2 linked regions of the Caenorhabditis elegans genome follow. The protein of the gene in region 2 interacts with the protein of the main gene of each other region in a pairwise test. Each region holds a gene or a part of one and is shown on either strand. Other genes may lie near its edges. The genes, in order: dnc-2 and pph-4.1.

Region 1 (3,709 bases), 6.4 Mb from region 2:
AAAGACGGTACATAATACATTTTGAGAAACTACTCTGAGGGTACGGTAGCTGAAAAGGTTCGTTCAGGACCACAACTTAATAAAATCAAATATAATTTCCATTTCAGTCCGCCTGCTGTATACATTTGGAAAGGATCTCGATATTGGAAATTAGACGAGAAAATGTATCATCGAAGAGTTGATGAAAGGTATCCAAAAGATACTGATCTGAATTGGGCGAGAGTTCCAAAAGGAGTACATTCTGCCTTCACTTATGAAAAAGAAATTCATCTTCTACGTGGAAATCAAGTTTTTCGAATGAATTCATCCCGATCTGTATTTGATATTGCTGATGGATATCCCCAACCTTTACAATCTTTTTTCGGATTCTGCCCTCGCAATGAGAAGCTTGTTCTGAATTCTTCTTCTTCACATTTTTCTTTGATCTATGCAACAATTACTATTTTGATACTCATCTTTTAAGATTTAAATCTCTCAATGGCAGATTCACTTGTAAAAACAGCACTGAAATGGGTTTTATTTAAAGTTTTAACTTGTTATTTTAACTGGTGAATACAAAAAATTATTAAAAATAAATGTGATGAAACATGAAAATTTTTGAATTAATGAGATAAAGTTCGGAATGAATCAGGATTATATGATACAACATGAAATCAAAATGAGTACAGATTAGAGATCATTAGATAAAGATTTTATGGTTGTTTTGATGTCATTTCAGCGTCGCGCATCGAACTGAAATCCGTTGAACCAGTGGCTCCACCTTGATAGTTTTGTGGCTCGAAAGTTTGATTGGAGTCACTATCAAAGTGATCGCCAGTGGAAAAATTGGAATCTTCGTTGATATCGAATTGTGGTGGTGGTTGGGTAACGCTGGTGGAATCCTGGGAATTCTCAGCAGATGGGACTTGATTGCTCTCCTCATCCACTTCTTTGACTTCCTTGATCTTTGGAGGAGCCATTATGTTTTGAGCGCTCACTGAAAAAGTTGTATTGAAAGTTTGGTTTTTTTTTTGAGAAATTCAAAACTTTTATATAGCAGAATATGTTATTAATTCATAATGCAGAGTCATTGAATTGTATCAAAAATATAAGTGTGAAGTTTTTTTTTTAATAATTACTATTTTAAAAAAGTATTTCATATAAATTTATATATAAATAGTTTCTAAATACCGAAATACGTGTTAAAATAAAAAATTACCCGGAACCCATTTGTAGATCCGAATATTTGTGTCCTTGATAAGAACTAACTTCTTTTCCCACCGACGAACTTTTTCCAATGAGTTGATAACCTGAAAATCTTAATATCAGTTTAGTTTTGGAAAAGTTGATTGTTTACCTTTCGGAGTTCATCTTTTGAGCGATTTCTTGTTTCAGCGCGATGAGATCTATTTGCTGAGTACATCTGAAACTTAAAAATTTAATAAATTTACAGAAAAATAAATAAAAAGAACGAAATACAATAAAACTGTTTAAATTCGAACAATCGAACGTTTTTGCCAAAACTGAACTCTGTCGCCTCTAATCTCTAATACGTGCCGGTAGAGCGCAGTAACTCATTGTTGTGTGTAGTCCTCTCGGACAATCTAATTTACTTGTTTCGCAATCAATTCCACGGCCATTTTGATGTTTCTAGCACGATTTATTACTTTAACCTATCATACATTTTGTTTATTCATTTTTCTAAATTTTTGCCGTTTGATCCTAAATATTTTAAATCAAATTCTGTTTTCTAGAAACTCTCAAATCTTGCGTCAAAATGTCATCTATTGGAAAAGAAGATATCTACGAGTCTGACGGAGCTGCAAGTCAAGTTCAAAAAAGTGAACCTGAAAATGACAATCCAACTCATCCGGATATCGAACTGGTTTGTATTTAATTAATTTAAATAATATAAATATTTAGTGAATTCTGATTTTTACAGATTTCGGTTGACGTTGACGAAGCTCTCAAAAAGTACAAAAACCGGGTACTGAACTTGACTTCAAGCGGTAATTTTAAAATAATATTACTTATCATCTTTTTTTTAAATTTAGATTTTTCTGACTCGATTGCTAAAAAGCGGCGACACGCATTTGGAAACAATCAATACGTATTGGAAGTTACTGGTGCAGGATTTTCGGGAACCGAGACTGCAGCCGAAAAACTGAATCGCATTTTGTACGAAGTCGCCGATCTGAATGAACAAATTCGTGCTGATGAAAATCTTAAAACGGATTTGCTCAACGCTGAGGTTCTTGAGAATCTAGAGAAAGAAGTGAAAACGTTGCAAGTGGCTCAGTCAAATGGAAAAACTGCACGAGTTGAGCATGATGTTGAGTTACCAAATGTTCGCACTGACTCGAAAGTGGCAACTCTTGAAAATAGGTTGAGAAGAATCGAACAAGTTATTGGAAGTTCGGTTATTCCATCAGCTCCCGTACTTGACACCATTGAAGATCTCAAACTCAGGTGAGATATCTTAAATTTAAAAAAATAAAAACGTATGAAAAATGTTTGAGATGCGAAACGCTTAATCATTCGTATGTCTCCGGTCTTGAACAACGTTTGAATATGATGCTTACCAAACTTGAAAAAATCGACGAGACACGCGCCAACAATGATATCGACGAGAATCTTGACAAGAAAGTTGATGAAATTCTGGAGCTTATGCAAAAATGGGATGTCGCTTGCTCATCTCTTCCAAGCAATGTTAATAAGGTTAAAGCATTGAACCGTCTTCACGAACAAGTTCAACACTTTGCCGGTGGACTATCACATTTGAAAACTATCAGAGAAAAACTCGAAAAGGAAGTCGCGCAAGGAAGAGAAGCGATTATCGAGTATGAGGTGTGTTTTTTAATTGTTTCGAGGAATATAAACAAATTAAATTATTGAAATTACAGTCCCAAGGAAAGCAAGAAATCGGGTCAGTGGTTGAAAAGCTGAAGCTTCTCGAGGCAAAAGTGGCAGATTTGAAGTGATTTTATCGACCTTTCTAGAGAAACAATTCATAATTTATTGTGTACGGACAATGCAACATTAACTAATCTGTTCGATATATTTATGTGCTTTATTTTTGCTTTCCATATTTCCGAATGAACCAATCTCTATTCAGCAATTGAAGGCCATACTCAGATAACGAACTCCCCATCCGACATTCTCGTCCTGAAATTTTCATATTTCTAAGTCAGATTTTTCGCGAAAACTCACATTAACCGCTCTGATAATCATATGAAAATGATCTTCGAATCCAAACCAAGATTGTGATGTAACATGGAATTCAACCGTCATATGAGAAGAATCTTTAGTCATTATTGCAAAGATAATACGAATTTCAGGATTGTAATGAGTTCTTGTATATCTATCGAAATATGATTTAAATCTGGCAAAATCCAATTCCTCTTGAATATGACAATCAGTTCCTTTTACTTGATCATCATAATAATTGAAATGCTCAATCATTTCTGTTTTATTTCGGAACATTCGTCGAAAAGTTCCCATGAAATATTGCAAGAAGTGAAAAGCATTTTTAGTTCTCACCATCTTCGGGAACATTGATCGTGGGTCACTGATAAAGTTCTGAAATATTTCGGTTGGTCCCGACATGAAAACTCAAGTCTTGATAAATTTCCACAATCTGCTAAATAAAGAATTCGCTAATTTGAGCAAAAAAAAAGTCATTTTATCGAAAAGTGTCCTAGAGCGCCAGCGTCTATGATGGTATACGGTA
Region 2 (8,239 bases):
TATCCAATCAATTGTATTTTACTTCGATTTTTTCTGTGAAAAATTCCATTTTCATGTTTTATTTTTTTCCCATTTCTCACTCCCCAAATACGGTTAATTGTTTTTTTTTGTTTCAAATCAAATCGGTTTTAAAAATGAATAGCATGAAATAAATTTTAATACTTTTTTTTGTCGAAAAAAAAATAAATCCGTAAAATTTGGAGGGGGGTGGACATTTACAGAAAAATGTGTGTGTGTGTGTGGAAAATAATAATTAAATATTGAAATATTTTTGTGGGAGCAAAAAAAAAAGGAAAAAAATGGTGTTTCGGCGATATAAAAGGGGGAGATTCTTCGGAATTTTTGGGCGAGAAAGAAATTTCGAGAAAATTTCGAGAAAAAATTAGAGGAAATAGTCGGCGTGCGGTTTTTTGGCCGGTGCTCCGCGATTTTCTTGTGGAGCAGCTTCGAAAATTGTGAATTCCTTGTTGAGATTCTCGTCGAGCTCGAGAATTGCCGCCACGTTGCCGCATCTGGAAAATTTTCATTAAGTTTTTTTTTACTGCAAAAAAAGCTCAAGTTTTCCGGGAAATTCAATTTTTCTTTTGAAACAAATTTTTGGGTTTGATCTACAAAAAATGCGGGATTTTTTTGTCCAAAAAATGTGACGTCAACACGTTCTTAATCATGCAAAATCAGTGCGTCACTTCTCCCGCATTTTTGTAGATCAAACCGAAATGGGACACTCTGGCACTACGTGATTTTGGCGGGAAAATTTTAAATTTTCTGGAAACAAATTTTGGCGGGAAAATTTAAATTTTTTGGAAACAAATTTTGGCGGGAAAATTCAAATTTTTTGGGAACAAAGTTTGGCGGGAAAATTCAAATTTTTTGGAAACAAATTTTGGCGGGAAAATTCAAATTTTCTGGAATCAAATTTTGGCGGGAAAATTCAAATTTTCTGGAAACAAATTTTGGCGGGAAAATTTAAATTTTCTTTTAAAAACATATTTTGACGGGAAAATTCAAATTTTTTGGAAACAAATTTTGGCGGGAAGTTTAAATTTTTTTGGAAACAAATTTTGGCGGGAAAATTCAAATTTTTTGGAAACAAATTTTGGCGGGAAAATTCAAATTTTTTGGAAACAAATTTTGGCGGGAAAATTCAAATTTTTTGGAAACAAATTTTGGCGGGAAAATTCAAATTTTCTGGAATCAAATTTTGGCGGGAAAATTCAAATTTTCTGGAAACAAATTTTGGCGGGAAAATTTAAATTTTCTTTTAAAAACATATTTTGACGGGAAAATTCAAATTTTTTGGAAACAAATTTTGGCCGGAAAATTCAAATTTTTTGGAAACAAATTTTGGCGGGAAAATTCAAATTTTTTGGAAACAAATTTTGGCCGGAAAATTTGAATTTTTTGGAAACAAATTTTGGCGGGAAAATTTAAATTTTCTTTTAAAAACATATTTTGACGGGAAAATTCAAATTTTTTGGAAACAAATTTTGGCGGGAAAATTCAAATTTTTTGGAAACAAATTTTGGCGGGAAAATTCAAATTTTCTGGAAACAAATTTTGGCGGGAAAATTCAAATTTTCTGGAATCAAATTTTGGCGGGAAAATTCAAATTTTCTGGAAACAAATTTTGGCGGGAAAATTTAAATTTTCTTTTAAAAACATATTTTGACGGGAAAATTCAAATTTTTTGGAAACAAATTTTGGCGGGAAAATTCAAATTTTTTGGAAACAAATTTTGGCGGGAAAATTCAAATTTTCTGGAAACAAATTTTGGCGGGAAAATTTAAATTTTTTGGAAACAAATTTTGGCGGGAAAATTTAAATTTTCTTTTAAAAACATATTTTGACGGGAAAATTCAAATTTTTTGGAAACAAATTTTGGCGGGAAAATTCAAATTTTCTGGAAACAAATTTTGGCGGGAAAATTTAAATTTTCTTTTAAAAACATATTTTGACGGGAAAATTCAAATTTTTTGGAAACAAATTTTGGCCGGAAAATTCAAATTTTTTGGAAACAAATTTTGGCGGGAAAATTTGAATTTTTTGGAAACAAATTTTGGCGGGAAAATTTAAATTTTCTTTTAAAAACATATTTTGACGGGAAAATTCAAATTTTTTGGAAACAAATTTTGGCGGGAAAATTCAAATTTTTTGGAAACAAATTTTGGCGGGAAAATTCAAATTTTCTGGAAACAAATTTTGGCGGGAAAATTTAAATTTTCTTTTAAAAACATATTTTGACGGGAAAATTCAAATTTTTTGGAAACAAATTTTGGCGGGAAGTGTAAATTTTTTTGGAAACAAATTTTGGCGGGAAAATTCAAATTTTTTGGAAACAAATTTTGGCGGGAAAATTCAAATTTTTTGGAAACAAATTTTGGCGGGAAAATTCAAATTTTTTGGAAACAAATTTTGGCGGGAAAATTCAAATTTTTTGGAAACAAATTTTGGCGGGAAAATTCAAATTTTCTGGAATCAAATTTTGGCGGGAAAATTCAAATTTTCTGGAAACAAATTTTGGCGGGAAAATTTAAATTTTCTGGAAACAAATTTTGGCGGGAAAATTCAAATTTTCTGGAAACAAATTTTGGCGGGAAAATTTAAATTTTCTTTTAAAAACATATTTTGACGGGAAAATTCAAATTTTTTGGAAACAAATTTTGGCCGGAAAATTCAAATTTTTTGGAAACAAATTTTGGCGGGAAAATTCAAATTTTTTGGAAACAAATTTTGGCGGGAAAATTTAAATTTTTTGGAAACAAATTTTGGCGGGAAAATTCAAATTTTCTGGAAACAAATTTTGGCGGGAAAATTTAAATTTTCTTTTAAAAACATATTTTGACGGGAAAATTCAAATTTTTTGGAAACAAATTTTGGCCGGAAAATTCAAATTTTTTGGAAACAAATTTTGGCGGGAAAATTCAAATTTTTTGGAAACAAATTTTGGCGGGAAAATTCAAATTTTTTGGAAACAAATTTTGGCCGGAAAATTTGAATTTTTTTGGAATCAAATTTTGGCGGGAAAATTTAAATTTTTTGGAAACAAATTTTAGCGGGAAAATTCAAATTTTCAGAAAAAAATTGTATTTTTTCCTAAAAATTATACTTTAAATGATAAAAAAGTGACCAAAAATTTTAATTTTTCGTCTTTTTCACGAAAAAAAAATTTCCGTTTTTTTTCCAAATCCATCCCGTACCGATAACAATAGTTGGGCGCCGACCAAACAGTGAGCACTTTCTCGTTGAAATGCCATTTATATCCTTCCATAACCAATTGATGAGCTCTACAGATCAAATCGACTCCGTTCGTTTCGCAAAACGTTTTCGACGCGTCCGCTCCGAATAGATAACCGGCTCCGCGTGGACTTAGGCCCCATCCAACATTTCCTTCTTCGGGGTCCGACCACAGTAGATCACACATTGGACCGTCGTGGGGAACCTGGAAATTTTCAGAATTTTTTTTCGCTTTTTTAGCACAAATTTATACGTTTTTCTATCAAAACGAACAAAATTTGATTAAAAAATTGATTTTTTTTTCAATTTTTGAGGCGGAACGGTGGTTTTGCAAACCTGCGGCGCGGTTTGATTTCTGTCGATTTACGGTGGAGTTTGTGCTACACGTGGATAAGCGTTTTTTTTTTTTTTTCGAATTGTTCTTCAGTTCTGTAATTTTTTTTGTAAACACTATTCAAAAAATATATATATATGGACCCAATTTTTAATGTTGAACACCAAAAAAAATTGGCAAAAATGGCCCAAAACTGTAAATTTACTATTAGAAAAAATTAAAAAATTAATCGACGCTTGTCCGTGTGTATTACAAAATTCTCCGTAAATCGAAATATAGCAAACCGCAGACTTGCAAAACCTTCGCCCCGCTGGAAAAAAGTGATTTCTCGAAAAATTTAACGTAAATTTTGAAATTTCGCTTCAAAATATCCGAAATAGTATCAAATTCAGAAAAATAAAAAGATTTTTCAATTTTGAATTCCCTCCAAAATGAGAACTCAAACTCCGCCCACTCCATCTGATTGGTTGAAAAGTGGGCGGAGCGAATCGCTGATTGGTTGAAGACAAAAATCGCGTTTTTGTGGTTTTTTTCTGATTTTGAGACTATTTTTTGAATTTTTTAGTATTTTTCGGGGAAAAAATCGAAATAAATGAAATAAAAATTAAATTGGTCGATTTTGATGAGAAAAAATTAGAAAAAAGTCTGAAAATTAAAAAAAAAAATTTTTAATGAAAAAAACGGAAATTTTTTTTTAAACGGAAATTTTCGGAAATTTGCCGATTTTCTGGTTATTTTCATTTTCGGCAATTTGCCGATTTGCCAGAAAATTTTAATTCCGGAAATTTGTCGATTTGACGGTTATTTTCATGATCGACAAATTGCCGATTTGCCAGAAAATCTTAATTCCGGAAATTTGCCGGAAATTATCAATTCCAGCAATTTGCCGATTTGCCAGAAATTTTCATTTTCGGCAGTTTGTCGATTTGCCGGAAATTTTTAATTCCGGCAATTTGCCGTTTTTCCGGCGAATTCGGCAAATTTCCGACTTGCCGGAAATTTTTAAATTCCGGCAATTTGCCGATTTGCCGGAAATTATCAATTCCAGCAATTTGCCGATTTGCCGGAAATTATCAATTCCAGCAATTTGCCGATTTGCCGGAAATTTTTAATTCCGGCAATTTGCCGTTTTTCCGGCGAATTCGGCAAATTTCCGACTTGCCGGAAATTTTTAAATTCCGGCAATTTGACGAATTGCCGGAAATTTTCAATTTCGGCAATTTTCCGATTTGCCGAAAATTTTTAAACATGGCAATTTTCCGATTTGCCAGAAATTTTTAATTACGGCAATTTGCCGATTTGCCGGAATTTTTTAATTCCGGCAATTTTTCGATTTGCCGGAAATTTTCAATTTCGCCAATTTGCCACAAATTTTTTAATTCGAACATTTGCCGATTTGCCAGAAAATTTTAATTCCGGCAATTTGTCGATTTGCCGGTTATTTTCATTTTCGGCAATTTGTCGATTTGCCAGAAAGTTTCATTACGGCAGTTTGTCGATTTGCCAGAAATTTTTAATTCCGGCAATTTGTCGATTTGCCGGTTATTTTCATTTTGGGCAAATTTGCCGGTTTGCTGATTTGCCGGAAATTTTTAAATTCCGGCAATTTGCAGATTTGTCGGTTATTTTCATTTTCGAAAATTTTAAAACTTTCCGGCAAATTCGGCAAAATGCCGGAAATTTAAAAAATTGTAATTCACCGAATTTTAACCGAAATTCAAAGCAAAATTCCATTAAAAACAGCATATTTTTTGCGTTTTACCTCCTGCTTCCGATCAATAACACGAATCTGATCCATAGTACTAATCGACGGGGATAATCCACCATGAACACAGAAAACCTTCCCATCAATTACAGCGGCAAGTGATAAGTAGTCGAAAACTTCGGTACAATGTTTCCAAACAGACGCATTTCCATATTTCCGAAGGCATTCATCATAGAACCCGTAGACTTGAGTAATCTGGCGACTTTCGTGATTTCCACGGATCAACATCATTCGATCCGGATAGCGAGCTTTCAGTGCGAGAAGTAGAAGGAATGTCTGGAAAAATATCGATTTTTTGGGAGTTTTTTTTGCAATTTTTTCGCCAGGAAAATTGCAAAAAAGCGGGGGCACCTCCACAGAATAGAAGCCTCGATCCACGAAATCTCCGAGGAACAAATAGTTGGTGTTCGGCACTGGTCCGCCGACTTTGAAGAGCTCCATTAAATCGTAGAACTGGCCGTGGATGTCTCCGCAGATCTGGAAATAGAATTTAAAATGGAAATTTTGATTTAAAAATCGATTTTATCCAACCAACCGTCACCGGAGAATCGATAACCTGGACGTTGCCCTCTTCCGCTAGGATTTCACGAGCTTTTGCGCAAAGTGTTTTGACATCTTGCTCCGCGATGAGCTCACATCTCATCAGCTTTTCTATGTGGCTGAAAATATTTTTTTTTTGTTGATATTTTATTGTTTTTATATCAAAACTGCTACCGATCCAAGTCATGAGTTGTTAGCTGGTCCGATGGGCCGGAAGTCGGTGAGTCGACACGTGAAAATGTGGAATTTGCAGAGTCGGTGCACGCCAGAGCCATTAAAAGCTGTAAAATACGTTGTAAATCGATTTTTTGAATTAATATTTAATTTAAAAACGAAAAAACGAAAAAAACCAATGAAAACAGGCGAAATCGACTTTAAATCCAGAGTTTTTCGTGCAAAAATATAAATTCAGTGTAATATTGGCATTGTGCCAGATTGCCAACAGAGCGCGATTGCGCCGTGTGGACGAGAGAAACCTCGGTCGCGGCCAGGAAATTTTTTTTTTTTTTTAATTTTAAAAATTGTTTTTTCGGAAATTTTCTCTGTTCTAACCAGTTTTTTTGCGAATAATTCAAATAAATTTCAGTGAACAATGTCAAGTTTGGCGAAACTCGGGTACTTTTTCGACGAAAAAGGCGTGCTGAAAACGGAGAAGGACAAAAAACCCTTCAAATTCACTACACAGGAGGATTATGAAGAACTGGGAGAAGCAGTTGATCTGGAAGTTTATGAGCTTCTGGAGACACGTTGTGGGCTGAAGAGAAAGGCGGTAAATTAAGAAATTTTTAAAAAATGGAAAAAAAAATTTAAAAATCAAAAAAAAAAATTTTTTTTCAGCTAAAACTTCCAGGAAAAACCGACGAGGATGAGGATCTAAGCTTCATTTTTGTGTCGAAAAATTTCAAAAAAGCTGCAAATCTTCTAGTATTGATCCACGGAAGCGGTGTCGTCAGAGCCGGACAATGGGCTCGTAGACTCATTATCAATGATAATTTGGAGTGTGGAACTCAGATTCCGTATATCGAAAGAGCTATTGAAAATGGATGGGGTGTTGTGGTGATGAACACTAATTTGAATGAAAGTAAAGATCAGGATTTGAAGGTGTGAAAAAACCCGGGAAATTTCGAAAAATTCGCTGAAAAATCGATTTTCAGTACTCCCGCACACCTGTCGAGCACGCTGAAACTGTCTGGATAGCGTGTATTGAGCCATCGAATGCTAAGAGCATCTACGTGGTGGCTCACAGTCGTGGTGGTTACGACACAGCCAGTGTGGTGGGATTTTCAGCACTTTTTTGGCAAAAAAAAGCGAAAAAATCGATGTTTTTCCGATTTTTCAAGGCGAAAATCCCTGTTTTTCTGAATTTTTTAAAGGAAAATGCAATTTTAATCTATTTTCAGCTTTTTTTTTGGCAAAAAAGAGCGAAAAAACGACATATTTCCGGATTTTTAAGGCGAAAATCCCTGTTTTTCTGAATTTTTGAATAAAAATGCGATTTTAAACTGTTTTCAGCTTTTTTTTGGCTAAAAATGAACGAAAAAATTGACTTTTTCCGAATTTTTAAGCCATAAAACCCTGTTTTTCTGAGTTTTTGGATAAAAATGCGATTTTAAACTGTTTTCAGCACTTTTTTTTTGGCAAAAAAGAGTGAAAAAATCGACTTTTTTTTTGATTTTTTAAGGCAAAAAAACCCTGTTTTTTTGAATTTTTGAATAAAAATGGGATTTAAACTGTTTTCAGCTTTTTTTTGGCTAAAAAAGAGCGAAAAAACGACTTTTCTCCGATTTTTTAAGGCAAAAATCCCTGTTTTTCTGATTTTTTTAAAGGAAAATGCAATTTTAATATATTTTCAGCTTTTTTTTTGGCAAAAAAAGCGAAAAAACGACATATTTCCGGATTTTTAAGGCGAAAATCCCTGTTTTTCTGAATTTTTTGAATAAAAATGGGATTTTAAACTATTTTCAGCTTTTTTTGGCGAAAAATCGACATTTTCGCGATTTTTTAAGGCAAAAACCCCTGTTTCAGGTCTCGCCACGACAAAATTGTGTTCAAGGAATAAGAAAAAAAGGTATGCGCCTTTAAAGATTACTGTAATTTCTAATTTTTGTTTCTGTGAAATTTATCGAGTTTTCGTAGTTTTTCTAAATAAAAATATTTTTTAATCTTTTGAAAAAAAATCGAAAAAAATTTTTTTAATTTAGTTTTCGCGATTTTTTTTAAATTTTTTCGATTAAAAAATATTTTTATTTAGAAAAACTACGAAAAATCGATAAATTTCACAGAAACTAAAATTTAAAACTACAGTACTCTTTAAAGGCGCACACTTTTTTGTATTCAACAAAAATTTGTCGCTTCGAGACCCAAAA

What was found.
Region 1: the proteins of pph-4.1 (region 2) and dnc-2 interact in a two-hybrid assay, tested with the Caenorhabditis elegans proteins (2 studies listed by BioGRID).

What each region holds. Positions count from the first base shown.
Region 1 is NC_003281.10:5,923,779-5,927,487, reverse strand, and holds dnc-2 (putative dynactin subunit 2), read left to right. Parts: upstream 1-1,733; 5' UTR 1,734-1,756; coding exon 1,757-1,864; intron 1,865-1,921; coding exon 1,922-1,988; intron 1,989-2,033; coding exon 2,034-2,448; intron 2,449-2,498; coding exon 2,499-2,826; intron 2,827-2,882; coding exon 2,883-2,960; 3' UTR 2,961-3,090; downstream 3,091-3,709. Other genes in the region: zmp-1 (Matrix metalloproteinase-A), read left to right, coding at 108-462; bcl-7 (BCL7-like protein), read right to left, coding at 693-976, 1,199-1,289, 1,337-1,402; C28H8.2 (uncharacterized protein), read right to left, coding at 3,091-3,144, 3,190-3,558.
Region 2 is NC_003281.10:12,345,183-12,353,421, forward strand, and holds pph-4.1 (Serine/threonine-protein phosphatase 4 catalytic subunit 1), read right to left. Parts: upstream 6,155-8,239; 5' UTR 6,149-6,154; coding exon 6,048-6,148; intron 5,993-6,047; coding exon 5,869-5,992; intron 5,811-5,868; coding exon 5,685-5,810; intron 5,610-5,684; coding exon 5,331-5,609; intron 3,440-5,330; coding exon 3,198-3,439; intron 513-3,197; coding exon 383-512; 3' UTR 141-382; downstream 1-140. Other genes in the region: FAM172 family protein homolog Y75B8A.31, read left to right, coding at 6,466-6,642, 6,711-6,974, 7,028-7,147. UniProt on the Caenorhabditis elegans protein: Protein phosphatase which plays an essential role in meiosis and in early embryonic mitosis.